Oryctolagus cuniculus: one gene and its partners. The protein of the gene in region 1 binds, or shares a complex with, the protein of each later gene. Links are inferred from orthologs where the notes say so. Each region holds a gene or a part of one and is shown in the gene's direction. Other genes may lie near its edges.

Region 1 (3,642 bases):
TTAGCAGCTGCCAGTTAGCAGACACAGTGGGTAATCAGTAAGTGGTTCCTTCCCTCCCATATCCTGGAGGCCTCCAGAAGCGGGAGCGGGGCGTCCTAACCTGTGTTCCTCACCCTCCCCGCTCCAGGTGGCGCTGGGCTTGGTCTGTGAGGCTGATTACCAACCAGTGGCCCGGGCTGTGCGTGAACGGGTTGCTGCCATCCAGCGAAAGCGTGAGAAGCTGCGCAAAGCTCGAGAGTTGCAGGCCCTCCCGCCCGAGCCCGGACCTCCGCCAGCAACGGTTCCCATGGCTCCTGGGGCTCCCAGCGCCTTCCCCCCTGAGCCCGAGGAGCCAGAGGCAGACCAGCACCAGCCCTTCCTCTTCCGCCACGCCAGCTACTCATCCACCACCTGTAAGTCCTGCCTGAGCTGGGGTCGTGGAACCCTGGGCCTTGGCCCTCCCCCACCCGGCAGTCCCACCCTGCAGCACTGTCCCTTACGTTCCTTCCGCCTCCAGCCCACGGCTGCCTCCCTGCTCGGTCAGCCCCTCCTTTCCCACCACTCCTTTTGATATTTTTTGACCCCTCCATCCCCCACCAGCGGATTGCGAGACTGATGGCTACCTCAGCTCCTCTGGCTTCCTGGATGCCTCAGATCCTGCCCTGCAGCCCCCTGGGGGGGTGCCCTCCAGCCCTGCTGAGACCCGGCTCTGCCTGCCCTCGGTGAGGGGGGGTCATGGGAGGGGCTCGCAGCCATCCCAAACCTAGGACCTATCCCTTCATTGTGAAACCCAGCCCTGTGTCCCTAGAAATCTACCACCCTAGTCCTCACCTGCTCCCATTCTGTCTCCCTAGTGTCTCCCCAAGCACCTTTGATACCACCTCCCTGGACCCCAACAGTTATCTGCCCTTGACCTTGTGAACCTTTTATCCTATTTCAGGCATTCGCTGTGTCCATCCCATGTTCTGGCCCTGGCAGTGACTTTTCACCTGGGGACAGGTATGTTCTGGTATGAGCTGGGTGCCAGGTGGAACATCCGGGGTTCTGAGGTCCCAGGGCCCACCTGATGCTCCTTCCATCTCCTGTCTCTCCCCCAGCTACGCATCAGATGCGGCATCAGGCCTGAGTGATGTGGGAGAAGGGACGGGACGGGTGAGAAGGCCTCCGGGGAGGAACCTCCGGCGCAGACCCCGATCCCGGCTGCGCGTCACCAGTGTAAGGAAGCGGCACGGGAGATGGAGAGTAACCCACGGGGCCGGGAGGGGCCGCCCAGCGGAGTGGAGATCAGCCAGAAAGGGGGCTGGCAGTGTGCCTGGCACCCACGGGGCAGCCATTCTACTACCATTTCTACTACCGGACTTGGAGGGTGGAGTGCCTGGAAGTGGCGCTGGGTTGGCGGAGGCAGGTGAGGGCGGAGGGCTTGACCGCCTCCCTCTGCTGACCCTGAAGGTCTCCGACCAGAATGACAGAGTGGTCGAGTGCCAGCTGCAGACCCACAACAGCAAGATGGTGACCTTCCGGTTTGATCTGGATGGGGACAGCCCGGAAGAGATCGCAGCTGCCATGGTGAGGGGGAGCAAGATGAGGACAGAGTGGACCTGGGGCAGGAGCTTCCTTCCTGTCCGCTGCCACCACCGCCTCGGATCCCACAGCAGGGTTTTGTCTTGCTTATTAATTAATTTTTTCTGTGAGGGCAACTAGCAAGTAGAATGGTGATTTCTTCAAAAAGAAAAATATTGGTTTATTTATTTGAAAGGTAGAATAAGAGAGAGAGAGAGAGATCTTCCATCTGCTGGTTCGCTGCCCAGGGCTGGGCCAGGCAGAAACCAGGAGCCAGGAACTCCGTTCTGGTCTCCCACATGAGTGGCAGGGGCCCAAGTAGGGCATTGTCAGCTGTCTTCCCCGGGTGCATTAATAGGAAGCTGGATGGGAAGTGGACTAGCCAGGACTTGAACCTGTACTCTGATATGAGAAACCGGCATCCCAAGCAGCAACTTAGCTACAATGCTGGCCCCGTGGCAGGGGTTCTTGAAGCACTGGCCGGCACTCCCAGCGGTGACCCCAGAGACCCCTCAATCTCCGTGTGGGAGATTTCTGAGGTTTGGCTCCTTGGAAGTTGCTGGAACAATTTGACACTAACATGGCACACAAGTGCTGCGCGTGGAAGTGGGTGCTAGGTGGGAGATACTGTGGCTCTGGGTCAAGGATGGGCCGTGGGCAGCCACGGGAAGAGGTGGGACTTAGCCAGGCTGGGCAGAAAGGGAAGGAAGACAGTGAAGGTAGAAAAGGCATGGCTGGCTGCAGGCACACTGTAGGCAGAGGCGTTCCAAGTCGTGAGTGACCTGGGGTACGGGGCTGGGAGGACCTCATGAGAACCCCACCATCAGAGGGGAGTAGGGATCCCAAGGAGAGCCACGGAAGGTGAGGGTGGGGCCGGCGGAGGGGCCCAGCTTATCCACGATCACGGGAGTTAAAGTGGGACACAGTGAGAGCAGGCTTTGTGACGACCATTTTGCCCTGGATGTGGGTAGGGGTTGGGGGCAGAGGACTCAACCGGGTACCAGACATAAGCAATCTGATATGGATGAAGGTGACGGTAGATGACGGGGCAGGGGAGGAGGAATGGCTCTGAGGGTTGTTTCAGGAAAGCCCATTGTTCTGTAACCCAGTAACCTGTTGAGGTGGTGCAGTGCGCCTAGTAGGTGCTCAATAAATATTTGCTGAGTTGATGTGATAGGGAGAGGGGGTGTCAAGGGCAGCTTGTCACTTGGAGGTGCTAAGGGGAGTAGGCTGCCCAAGGACAGGGGAAGTTGGAGATGAGGGGCTTCTTTAGGGTCTTGGCCAGCACAAGGTCCTCCAAGGTGCTGGGATGGGTGTAGGTCAGGCAGGGCTGGAGAGGTGGAAGCAGGAGTTGTCAGTACCGAGCTGAGAGTGAAGGGAGATGGCCTGAGGATGTCTCTCCGCAGATGCCGCCTGTTCTGAGTCGGGGCTGGGGAGGAAGGCCCTGGAAGGACCCAGGGATGGAGGAGAGAGGCAGCGGATGTTGGTGTGGGTAGAAACCGAATGAGAAGGGAGTTTCAAGGAGGTGGCATGGGAGGAAGCCCGAGGCAGGACCACAGCGGCACTGGTTTCGAGAAGGCTTTTGTGGGAGGCCAGCTTCCGCCGAGTGGGGGCGGTGGCTTCCAGCCCCAGGGGAGTGAAGGGGCGGGAACAGGAGAAATGTCAGGCTCCAGGAACGCTCCCTAAAGCATCCTCTCCGTGCTGCCTGGCACGCACGGCCTAGCACCGGCCCTCGAGTCACCGTCCTTGCAGGCTCCCCTCTGGCCTCACTGGCTTCTGAATGATCCTCGGAATCTTCTCGCCTCTGCCTCTGTCTGCTCAGGGGTCTCGCCCTGAGAACTGGTTCTGCTGGACCCCCAGACCACTCACTCCGACTCCATCCGGCCCAGGCAGCCTCCCCTCCAGCCCAGGGTCCATTCCTCTCTTTTCTCTTCCTGCCAGTCCGCCTTCCACTCCTTGACAGCAGAAGTCCCCTGAGACTTGGATCTGATCTTGCTGATTTTCACTGCAAATCTTTCTTAAACACCATGAGTAACTGGACTAAATACATTTTTTAAATTATTTACTTATTTGAAAGGCCGAGAGAGAAAAAAAGACAGTGCT
Region 2 (3,642 bases), on another chromosome or scaffold:
CAGGGCTTGACCTTGAGCAGTGGTCTGACAACAGCTCTGGTTTTGCTCCCCATCTGGTAGGTGATGTTCACTGGGGGGTGAGTGAACTACTGCTGGCTCACTCTGGTGTTGAAGATCGTGCTCCTCTCCCCAAAACACAGGTGGGGAAGTAATAAGCACCATCATTCATAACGGCACAAACTGCTAATGGCACTCACGGCTGATGGCACTCACGGCTGATGGTACTCACGGCTGATGGCGCTCAGTAGACCCTGGGTTAGAAGAGCGGTGAATCCTAGAGCAGAGCAGCAGCCTCAGCTGGGAATTTGTGAAAAATGCAGATTCTCAGCTTTGCTCCTGACTCGCTGAGTCGGAAACTCTGGGGCAGAGCCCAGCACGTTGTGTTTTTACAAAGCTTTCAGGGGATTCCGATGCATGCTGAATTGCAGATTCACCGGGTAAATAATGGGAGCTACAGGTAAAGATCAAGTCCTGTGGTGGTATTACCTGCCAATGGCGTCCACCCCCGTCTCTCGGCTCAAGAAAGCCAGTGAGTGAGAGTAACACCATTATGGGGACAGCTGCAACTCTGCATCAATTTAGAAAGCTGTATACACTGTAGTTAGCATTGGCACTATAATTTTTATTTATTAATGACGTACGACAAAAGTCACAACAGCAAGGATACCACACTTGAGTATTGCAGATGCGTTACTCTAGCTAGAGCAGCGGCTTTTATTTCTTTGGCCACACTCTGCAGTAACAAATGTTTGAACTATTATCCGGAAGGTACAGGTGTGGAATACCAGATGAGATATTTCATGAAATAACATCCTTCCATGATCATTCCTGTGCTGTTCTATTAAAAGTATGCTGGTTGCAACCCATTACATGGATTTCATGACCCACTACCAGAATGGGACCTGCATTTTGACGCAAACACAGGTGCAGCAAGCTGTCAGCACAGACCCTGTCTCTGGAGCGGCTGGGGTGGCACTGGCCTCATCCTTGCATCAGGGGCACTCGCGTCTCAGTCTCTGTTCTGTACTCTCAGCTGTGTGACCCAGGGCTTTTGTGGTGTTCTGTGAGCTCTCCTCAGCTGCCAGTGGGGATGGTCATCTCTACAGAGTTGTGGCGACGAGTGAATGATAGCCCTCTCCTTGTGGTTCCTTATTTGTGGGAATTTGTTAGCGGTATCTTTCAGAGCATCATCAGTTAAACAAATTTCATGGTACCCACCACAAAGCAGTGTTTCACCACATTTTTTTTTCCCATAATGCAGTGAACGTGTGCCTTCTGCAGTGTAAGCATTCAGAAATATTTTTGGTTAATAATTTGATCCTAAAAATGCATCCGAATTGAATGTTTTTTCTAAGATATAGTCATTTGTTTTGATACAATTTAGTCCCCTCCCCAGTCTTTGAGGCTACTGAGGCCACAGAAGATGCCTCCAGGGGCTTCGCCACCCCCAACATCGCTCTGAGAGGGGCATTTAGGAAGCACAGCCCTTCTGGTCGTGTACCCGTGGGGAGATGCGTGTTAGAGTGCTCTTGCATACACACACGTGTGGGTGATAGGGGCGGCATCTCCATGTCTGTAGCTCTGTGGTCCAGCCTCGCAGATCACCCACACGCCCTGGGAAGGGGGCGTGGGAGGTACTGGGAGTTGGTTACCCACTAATCTAGATGTGAGGAGACGCAGCTAACGTCCACTTGTCTCTCTGGAGGTCATGATTGTGGTTGGTGGCCAGGCGCCCAAGGCAATCCGTAGTGTGGAGTGCTATGATTTCGAGGAGGACCGGTGGGATCAGATTGCTGAACTTCCGTCCCGGAGATGCAGAGCAGGTGAGCCGCACTGCCGTCAGTTCAGTTCTGCAGGCTGCTTTTCCTGGCCGGTCTCCACCCAGTCCGGGAAGTCCTGTGGGGCCCTGGGGTCCTCGATCCTCTGTGGGATTCAGGCACCCTTCCCTTGCCTTCCCCACCTGCACTGTGTTGGGTGGCCCTTTCTAAGATCAGCTCTTACGCGCTTGGGGGTGTAAGCTAATTCAAATATTTGCTTGAATCAAACAAAAGTACAAAAGCGAATGGAAAAAGCAACCCAGTGAGTCCCATCTTGATTTCTAGAAACCTGAAGTTGGAGGTTATCTCTGTGAGTTATTCCTGTGCCCGCCTTGCTCCTCCTGCTGTCACCCATCGACCTAAGTGGCCAGCTGTCTCGACCTGACCTTGATACCTTAGTTTCCTGTGCCTCAGGTGTGGTGTTCATGGCTGGCCATGTGTATGCTGTGGGCGGGTTTAACGGCTCGCTGCGGGTACGGACGGTGGACGTGTATGACGGCGTGAAGGACCAGTGGACGTCCATTGCCAGCATGCAGGAACGCCGGAGCACACTGGGTGCAGCGGTGCTCAACGACCTGCTCTACGCCGTGGGAGGCTTTGATGGCAGCACTGGTAAGTCCAGGGCATGTCCCCACCCCTCCCAGCCTGGGACACACCCTTCTCATAACCCTGTTTTGTTCCTCAGTTCTTGGGCAACCGTGCGTGTCTATAGCTACCGGCCCAGCTTCTTTTGGGGCCAGAACCAGGCCCACACACTGATTTCTTTCTTTTTTTTTTTTTTTTAACTTTTATTTAATGAATATAGATTTCCAAAGTACAGCTTATGGACTACATTGGCTCCCCCCTCCCCGATGACTTCCCTCCCACCTGCAACCCTCCCCTTTCCCACTGTCTATCCCCTTCCATTCATATCAAGATTCATTTTCAATTTTCTATATATACCAAAGATCAGTTTAGTATACATTAAGTAAAGATTTCAACAGTTTGCACCCACATAAAAACACAAAGTGAAAAATACTGTTTGAGTACTCGTTATAGCATTAAATCTCAATGTACAGCACATTAAGGACAGAGATCCTACATGAGGAGTAAGTGCACCGTGACTCCTGTTGTTGACTTTACAAATTGACACTCCTGTTTATGGCATCAGTAATCTCCCTATGCTCCAGTCATGAGTTTCCAAGGCTATGGAAGCCCTCTGAGTTCTCCGACTCTTATCTTGTTTAGACAAGGTCATAGTCAAAGTGGAGGTTCTCTCGGTTCTCTCCTCCCTTCAGAGAAAGGTACCTCCTTCTTCGAAGACCTGTTCTTTCCACTGGGATCTCACTCACAGAGATCTTTCATTTAGGGTGTTTTTTTTTGTTTTGTTTTTGTTTTTGTTTTTGTTTTTTTGCCAGAGTGTCTTGGCTTTCCATGCCTGAACTACTCTCATGGGCTTTTCAGCCGGATCCGAATGCCTTTAGGGCTGATTCTGAGGCCAGAGTGCTGTTTAGGACATCCGCCATTCTATGAGTCTGCTGTGTATCTCGCTTCCCATGTTGGATGGCTCTCCCCTTTATTTATTCTATCGGTTAGTATTAGCAGGTACTAGACTTGTTTATGTGATCCCTTTGACTCTTAGTCCTTTCATTATGATCAATTGTGAACTGAAATTGATCACTTGGACTAGTGAGATGGCATTGATACATGCCACCTTGATGGGATTGAATTGGAATCCCCTGGTATGTTTCTTTTTTTTTTTTTTTTTTTTGACAGGCAGAGTGGACAGTGAGAGAGAGAGACAGAGAGAAAGGTCTTCCTTTGCCATTGGTTCACCCTCCAATGG
Region 3 (4,140 bases), on another chromosome or scaffold:
GCCACAACTGCTGGGGCTGGGCCAGATCAAAGCCAGGAGCCAGGAGCGTCTCCTGGGATCTCCCACTTTGGGTCACCCTCTGCTTTCCCAGCCACATTATCAAGGAGCTGGATTGGAAGTGGAGCGGCTGGGTCTCTAACCGATACCCATGTCCATATGGGCTGCCCCTGTTGCAGGCTGAGGCTCTGACCACGAAGTCATCGTTTTCACGACCCGGGCTAGCTGCTCACAGTTTTCCAATTGCTTCTCATCTCACAAGAGGCCCATCCCTGACTGCAGCCTAGCATGCCTCTATGGGTTTGAGTGCCCTGGCCCTCCCCAAGCGCTCCTTCCAGCTGCTTCTGCCCTCAAGCCAGCTTGGGCCACAACAGAGGGTCTCAAACGGGAGGGCTGCGTATTGCACACATCAGCAGGGCCCCGCCTCCAGAGTTCCTGACGAGTCTGAGCTGGGCCCGGAGATTTCGCGTCCCCACCCAGTGCCCAGGTGCTGCCATGCCAGCGGGCACGCCGGGCCCACCAAGCTTCCTAAAACAGTTCCTCAACAAGGCAGCCCTGCCCTCTGCCCTCGGCTTTCTCGGCCTTACTCAAGGCTCGCGTTGTTCTGTCTCCGAGCTTTGGAGGGGCCTCCCTTGACCGCTCCCTCTTATTTTTCTTCCCTGTTTCCAGGTCCTCTTGCCCCGTCTACGCGGACAGCTCCACAAGCCCAGACTCGGTTCTGCTCTTTTCTGTCTCCCTGTCCCCAGATCTTGCCTACCGAGGTGCTCACTTCGCTTGTCCAGGGAGCGGCTCCCAAGCCGAGGAGAGACCCCCCCCCCCCCAGCTTCGGGCGACAGCCGCTGCACAGGCTGCTTGCCTCAGTTTCACCACGTGTACAGGCAGAGGCTGGGGGCGCCTGCCTCTCCCTTGTCCCCCCCATCCCCGCACAGGCGCAAACCATCAGAGGACCCGGGGAACGCGCCCGGCAAGCAGCGCAGGGGGAGCCCCGAGCGTTCACGCCGCGCTTCTTCCAGAAAGCCCCCGCGCCCCGAGGCCCGCGCCGGGCACGCCCGCCCCCGCGAGCAGCCGCCGCCGCCGCAGGAGGAAGGGGCGGCGCCGAGGGAGGGTCCGCGGCCGCCGCGGGAGGCCGCATCGCCGGCCCGTCACGGCGTCGGCGCCGGCCGGGGCCGAACCCGGAAGTGGCCGAGCCCGCGCGTCCGCCCCGCACTCGGGCGAGCGCGGGAGCCGCGCAGGCAGACGGAGCGCGCCCGGCCGAGCGGGCCATGGCCGCGGGGGCCGCCGCCGCAGGTGGTGGCGCGCGGTGAGGCGAGCGCGGCGCCCCCCTCCGGGGCGCATGGAACGCAGCCCGGCGGGCGGGCCGTGCCGGCGTCCGCGGCTGGAATGGTGCTGGCGGCGGCGGTCGGTGCCTGCGTGCTGAAGCCCGCGAGGAGCCACCATGGAGACGCCGCCGCTGCCTGCCGCGTGAGTGAGCGGGCGGGCTGTGCCGCTGCGGCCACGCGCGCCGCTGCGGAGCCGCCGGGGGCCCCGCGGGAGGTGGGAGATGCGGGGCGTGACGAGGCGCGGTGCCCGCAGCCTGGAGGTGGACGCGGGCGGAAACTCGCGCTGGCCGGGCGGGGACTTAGCGCCCTGCCCAGGAGCCCCGGGAAGGTGCTGGTGGTGGTGGTGGTGGTGGTGTGGGGGTGTCTTCCCGATCCCCGGCGGATGGAAGATTCGGGATGGGCCGGTGCGCGGGGGCCGCCGTCTGTCCTGTGGCTGCCTCCCCGGAACGCACGGGCTGCCTGCGTCCTTCGGAGCGATGGCTGTGGGATGCGCGGAGTCCCTAGGAAGGAGGAAGCTGGAAAGTACCAGATGCCCGGTGTCTCGGTGAATCAGTGCGAGCTCGCTTGCTTGCTTGCTTGCCTGCTTCCCCCGAATTTCTGACAACATTGATATCCCGGGAGCTTGTCCGTCACTCGCTGGACGAGCCGCGGCCGTTTAGGGCATGTGACCTCTTACCTGGCGCTGCAGACGATTGTATCCAGAAATCAGAGCATTTTCTGGTTCCTGGGCACCTTGGGCGGATGAGTATCGTAGCGACCTGCCAGGCACAGGTGTCTATTTCCTTGGTACCTGAGCACGGTTAGGATCAGCTAGCTGCAAACAGAATTACTTTCTAGAAATAATAGCAGCTGAAGAATTATGTGGGAGGTATTGTTGCATTATTCAGTACAAGGGTTTTTTAAATTAATTAATTTTTTTAGCATCTTGGTAGAAGTGTGGCCGTCAATCCCCAGGAGTTTTTGAGCAATTCCATTTTGATGTGCTATCCTGAGTTTCACCTTTGTGAAGGAACAAGAGCCCTTTGAATCTTGACTTTTCAAACCGCCGGCAGTCTCATTCTAAGGAACAGTGTCCCTTTCTCTGAGAGCTGTTTCATGGAGCCTTACCGTTTTTTTCAGTTAGATTTGGCCAGTCTCACTCCATGCCAGTTGTATACCGCACCAGCCTCTTGTGGTTATTTGGCCGAGTTCCAGCCAAAATATGGAAAATCCGATTTGGGCTGAAAAGATTTTTTGATGTCGTTTCTTTTAGGAGAACTAATGGGATTCGGAACTGCAGTTTCTGAAAGTACGTTACAGAATTTCTAGCTCGAGTGGAACAGGTCATGGGGATCTGGAGAGGCCATGCTTAGACTCTTGCACTGACCCTCCTCTGCTGATGGAAGCAGCGGAGGTTCAGCCGCTCCTTGACTGCGGTGCCTTTGAGGGCTCTGTGGTCTGGTCCTCCCCTTCAGCAGGTCGGAGGGACCGTGATGGTGGGTCGTTAGCATCAGCATTGTGCACACGCTCGGGAGTGCTCATGGCTGGATGTGTTCTCTGTATTTCTAGACAACGCCCGGCATGGCATAGATAACATGTGGGCACCTCATCTGTAGTACACCGGCCACCCCCTTTGGGGCAGTTGTCTGCAGTCCCTTTTTACTTCTGTAGTGCAAGGAACTACAGGGAGGAACGGGGAGTCTTCGAATGCAGGTGAGAAGAAGGGTGTGGACAAAGCAGGCTCTGGCGCGAGGGAGGAAAGGCATAGCGAGTGGTTTAACCTGAAGCAAGAAACAAATGCAATAGATGTGTGTATGCAAATACTGATCAGACTGAAGCTAGGGCAGATCAGCCCATCCTGATTTTGGTGTCCAGCCCAGTTCTTGGGTGCTGAGACCCCGTCAGTACTGCTGGAACAATGAGAGGCTGAGATACCGTGACAAACCCGGGGTGCCAGCATGGGTGAGAGAATTGCTAACGCTTCCTTCGCTCACGAGTGGCTGAAGTTGGGGAGATTTGTTTTATAATTCTGCACATCCATTTAGTGATAGATGTAAATAGGTTTTATTTGATTGTAGCCTTAATTCCAGAGTTTGTTGTAGTGTTATTTACCTTTCCATAGATCAGAAGGCCCCCCCACTTCCCCTTCACCTGTTGACGTAGTTGCCTCCACGCCCTTGAACTTCCTGCCTGCCTGGTTGAGGGTGCTGGCTTTGAGAAATACAGGCAGCATCTTTGGGAAGGGGCTTCACTGTTGTGATTGGAACAAGACTGAGGCCAGTGTAAGTTATTGGGAAAAACTCGGATTTTCACAAGGATAGGTGTCTAGTCGGAGCTTTAATGCAAAACAAGATGTTTGACCTGGACTTAAGAGTGTCTTGGGTGGTGTGGTTGAAAGCAAGGACTGGTCGTGTGTGTGTGAATGTCTGTCGATGAATTCATTCGGTCGGCAGCTGTTGAATGGCTGTCTCTGCCTGGCGCTGGGCTGGAGCACTTGCTTGGTACTTCTCTGTGAATAACTAGTCGAGTTTACATTGTCCTCACACCTGAGAGATCTTCCATCCACTGGTTTAATTTTACTTGAAGAGGGGTGTCTTTACTTGAAGAGGAGAGTCGTGGAGACATGGAAATATGGAGAGAGATCTTCCATCTGTTGGTTTATTCCCCAAATGCTCACAGCAGCTGGGGCTGGGCCACACTGAAGCCAGGAGTACAGAATTCAGTCTGAGTCTCCCACGGGAGTGGCAGGGACTCAGCCATCATCTGCCACCTCCCAGGTGTGCATTAACAGGAAGCTGGATCAGAAGGAGAGGTAGCCAGGACTTGAACCAGGCACTCAAACATG

What was found.
Region 2: the proteins of WNK4 (region 1) and KLHL3 are in contact, whole or in part, in a crystal structure (PDB 4CH9), measured with the Homo sapiens proteins. The link is inferred for Oryctolagus cuniculus from reciprocal best matches to the Homo sapiens genes WNK4 and KLHL3. Residues at the interface, in NP_115763.2 of Homo sapiens: Glu557, Pro558, Glu559, Glu560, Pro561, Glu562, Ala563, Asp564, Gln565; in NP_059111.2 of Homo sapiens: Arg339, Phe355, Gly357, Ser358, Leu359, Arg360, Thr386, Phe402, Gly404, Gly407, Ser432, Tyr449, Gly451, Ser481, His498, Arg528, Tyr577.
Region 3: the proteins of WNK4 (region 1) and KLHL2 are in contact, whole or in part, in a crystal structure (PDB 4CHB), measured with the Homo sapiens proteins. The link is inferred for Oryctolagus cuniculus from reciprocal best matches to the Homo sapiens genes WNK4 and KLHL2. Residues at the interface, in NP_115763.2 of Homo sapiens: Glu557, Pro558, Glu559, Glu560, Pro561, Glu562, Ala563, Asp564, Gln565; in NP_009177.3 of Homo sapiens: Arg345, Phe361, Gly363, Ser364, Leu365, Arg366, Thr392, Phe408, Gly410, Ser411, Thr412, Gly413, Ser438, Ser439, Tyr455, Ser487, His504, Arg534, Tyr583.

The regions. Positions count from the first base shown.
Region 1 is NC_091448.1:20,122,619-20,126,260, reverse strand, and holds part of WNK4 (serine/threonine-protein kinase WNK4), read left to right. Parts: intron 1-127; coding exon 128-392; intron 393-579; coding exon 580-701; intron 702-919; coding exon 920-978; intron 979-1,076; coding exon 1,077-1,194; intron 1,195-1,428; coding exon 1,429-1,545; intron 1,546-3,642. UniProt on the Homo sapiens protein: Serine/threonine-protein kinase component of the WNK4-SPAK/OSR1 kinase cascade, which acts as a key regulator of ion transport in the distal nephron and blood pressure.
Region 2 is NC_091437.1:25,466,993-25,470,634, reverse strand, and holds part of KLHL3 (kelch-like protein 3), read left to right. Parts: intron 1-1,705; coding exon 1,706-1,823; intron 1,824-2,231; coding exon 2,232-2,429; intron 2,430-3,642. UniProt on the Homo sapiens protein: Substrate-specific adapter of a BCR (BTB-CUL3-RBX1) E3 ubiquitin ligase complex that acts as a regulator of ion transport in the distal nephron.
Region 3 is NC_091439.1:131,632,222-131,636,361, reverse strand, and holds the start of KLHL2 (kelch-like protein 2), read left to right. Parts: upstream 1-1,231; 5' UTR 1,232-1,432; coding exon 1,433-1,458; intron 1,459-4,140. UniProt on the Homo sapiens protein: Substrate-specific adapter of a BCR (BTB-CUL3-RBX1) E3 ubiquitin ligase complex that mediates the ubiquitination of target proteins, such as NPTXR, WNK1, WNK3 and WNK4, leading most often to their proteasomal degradation.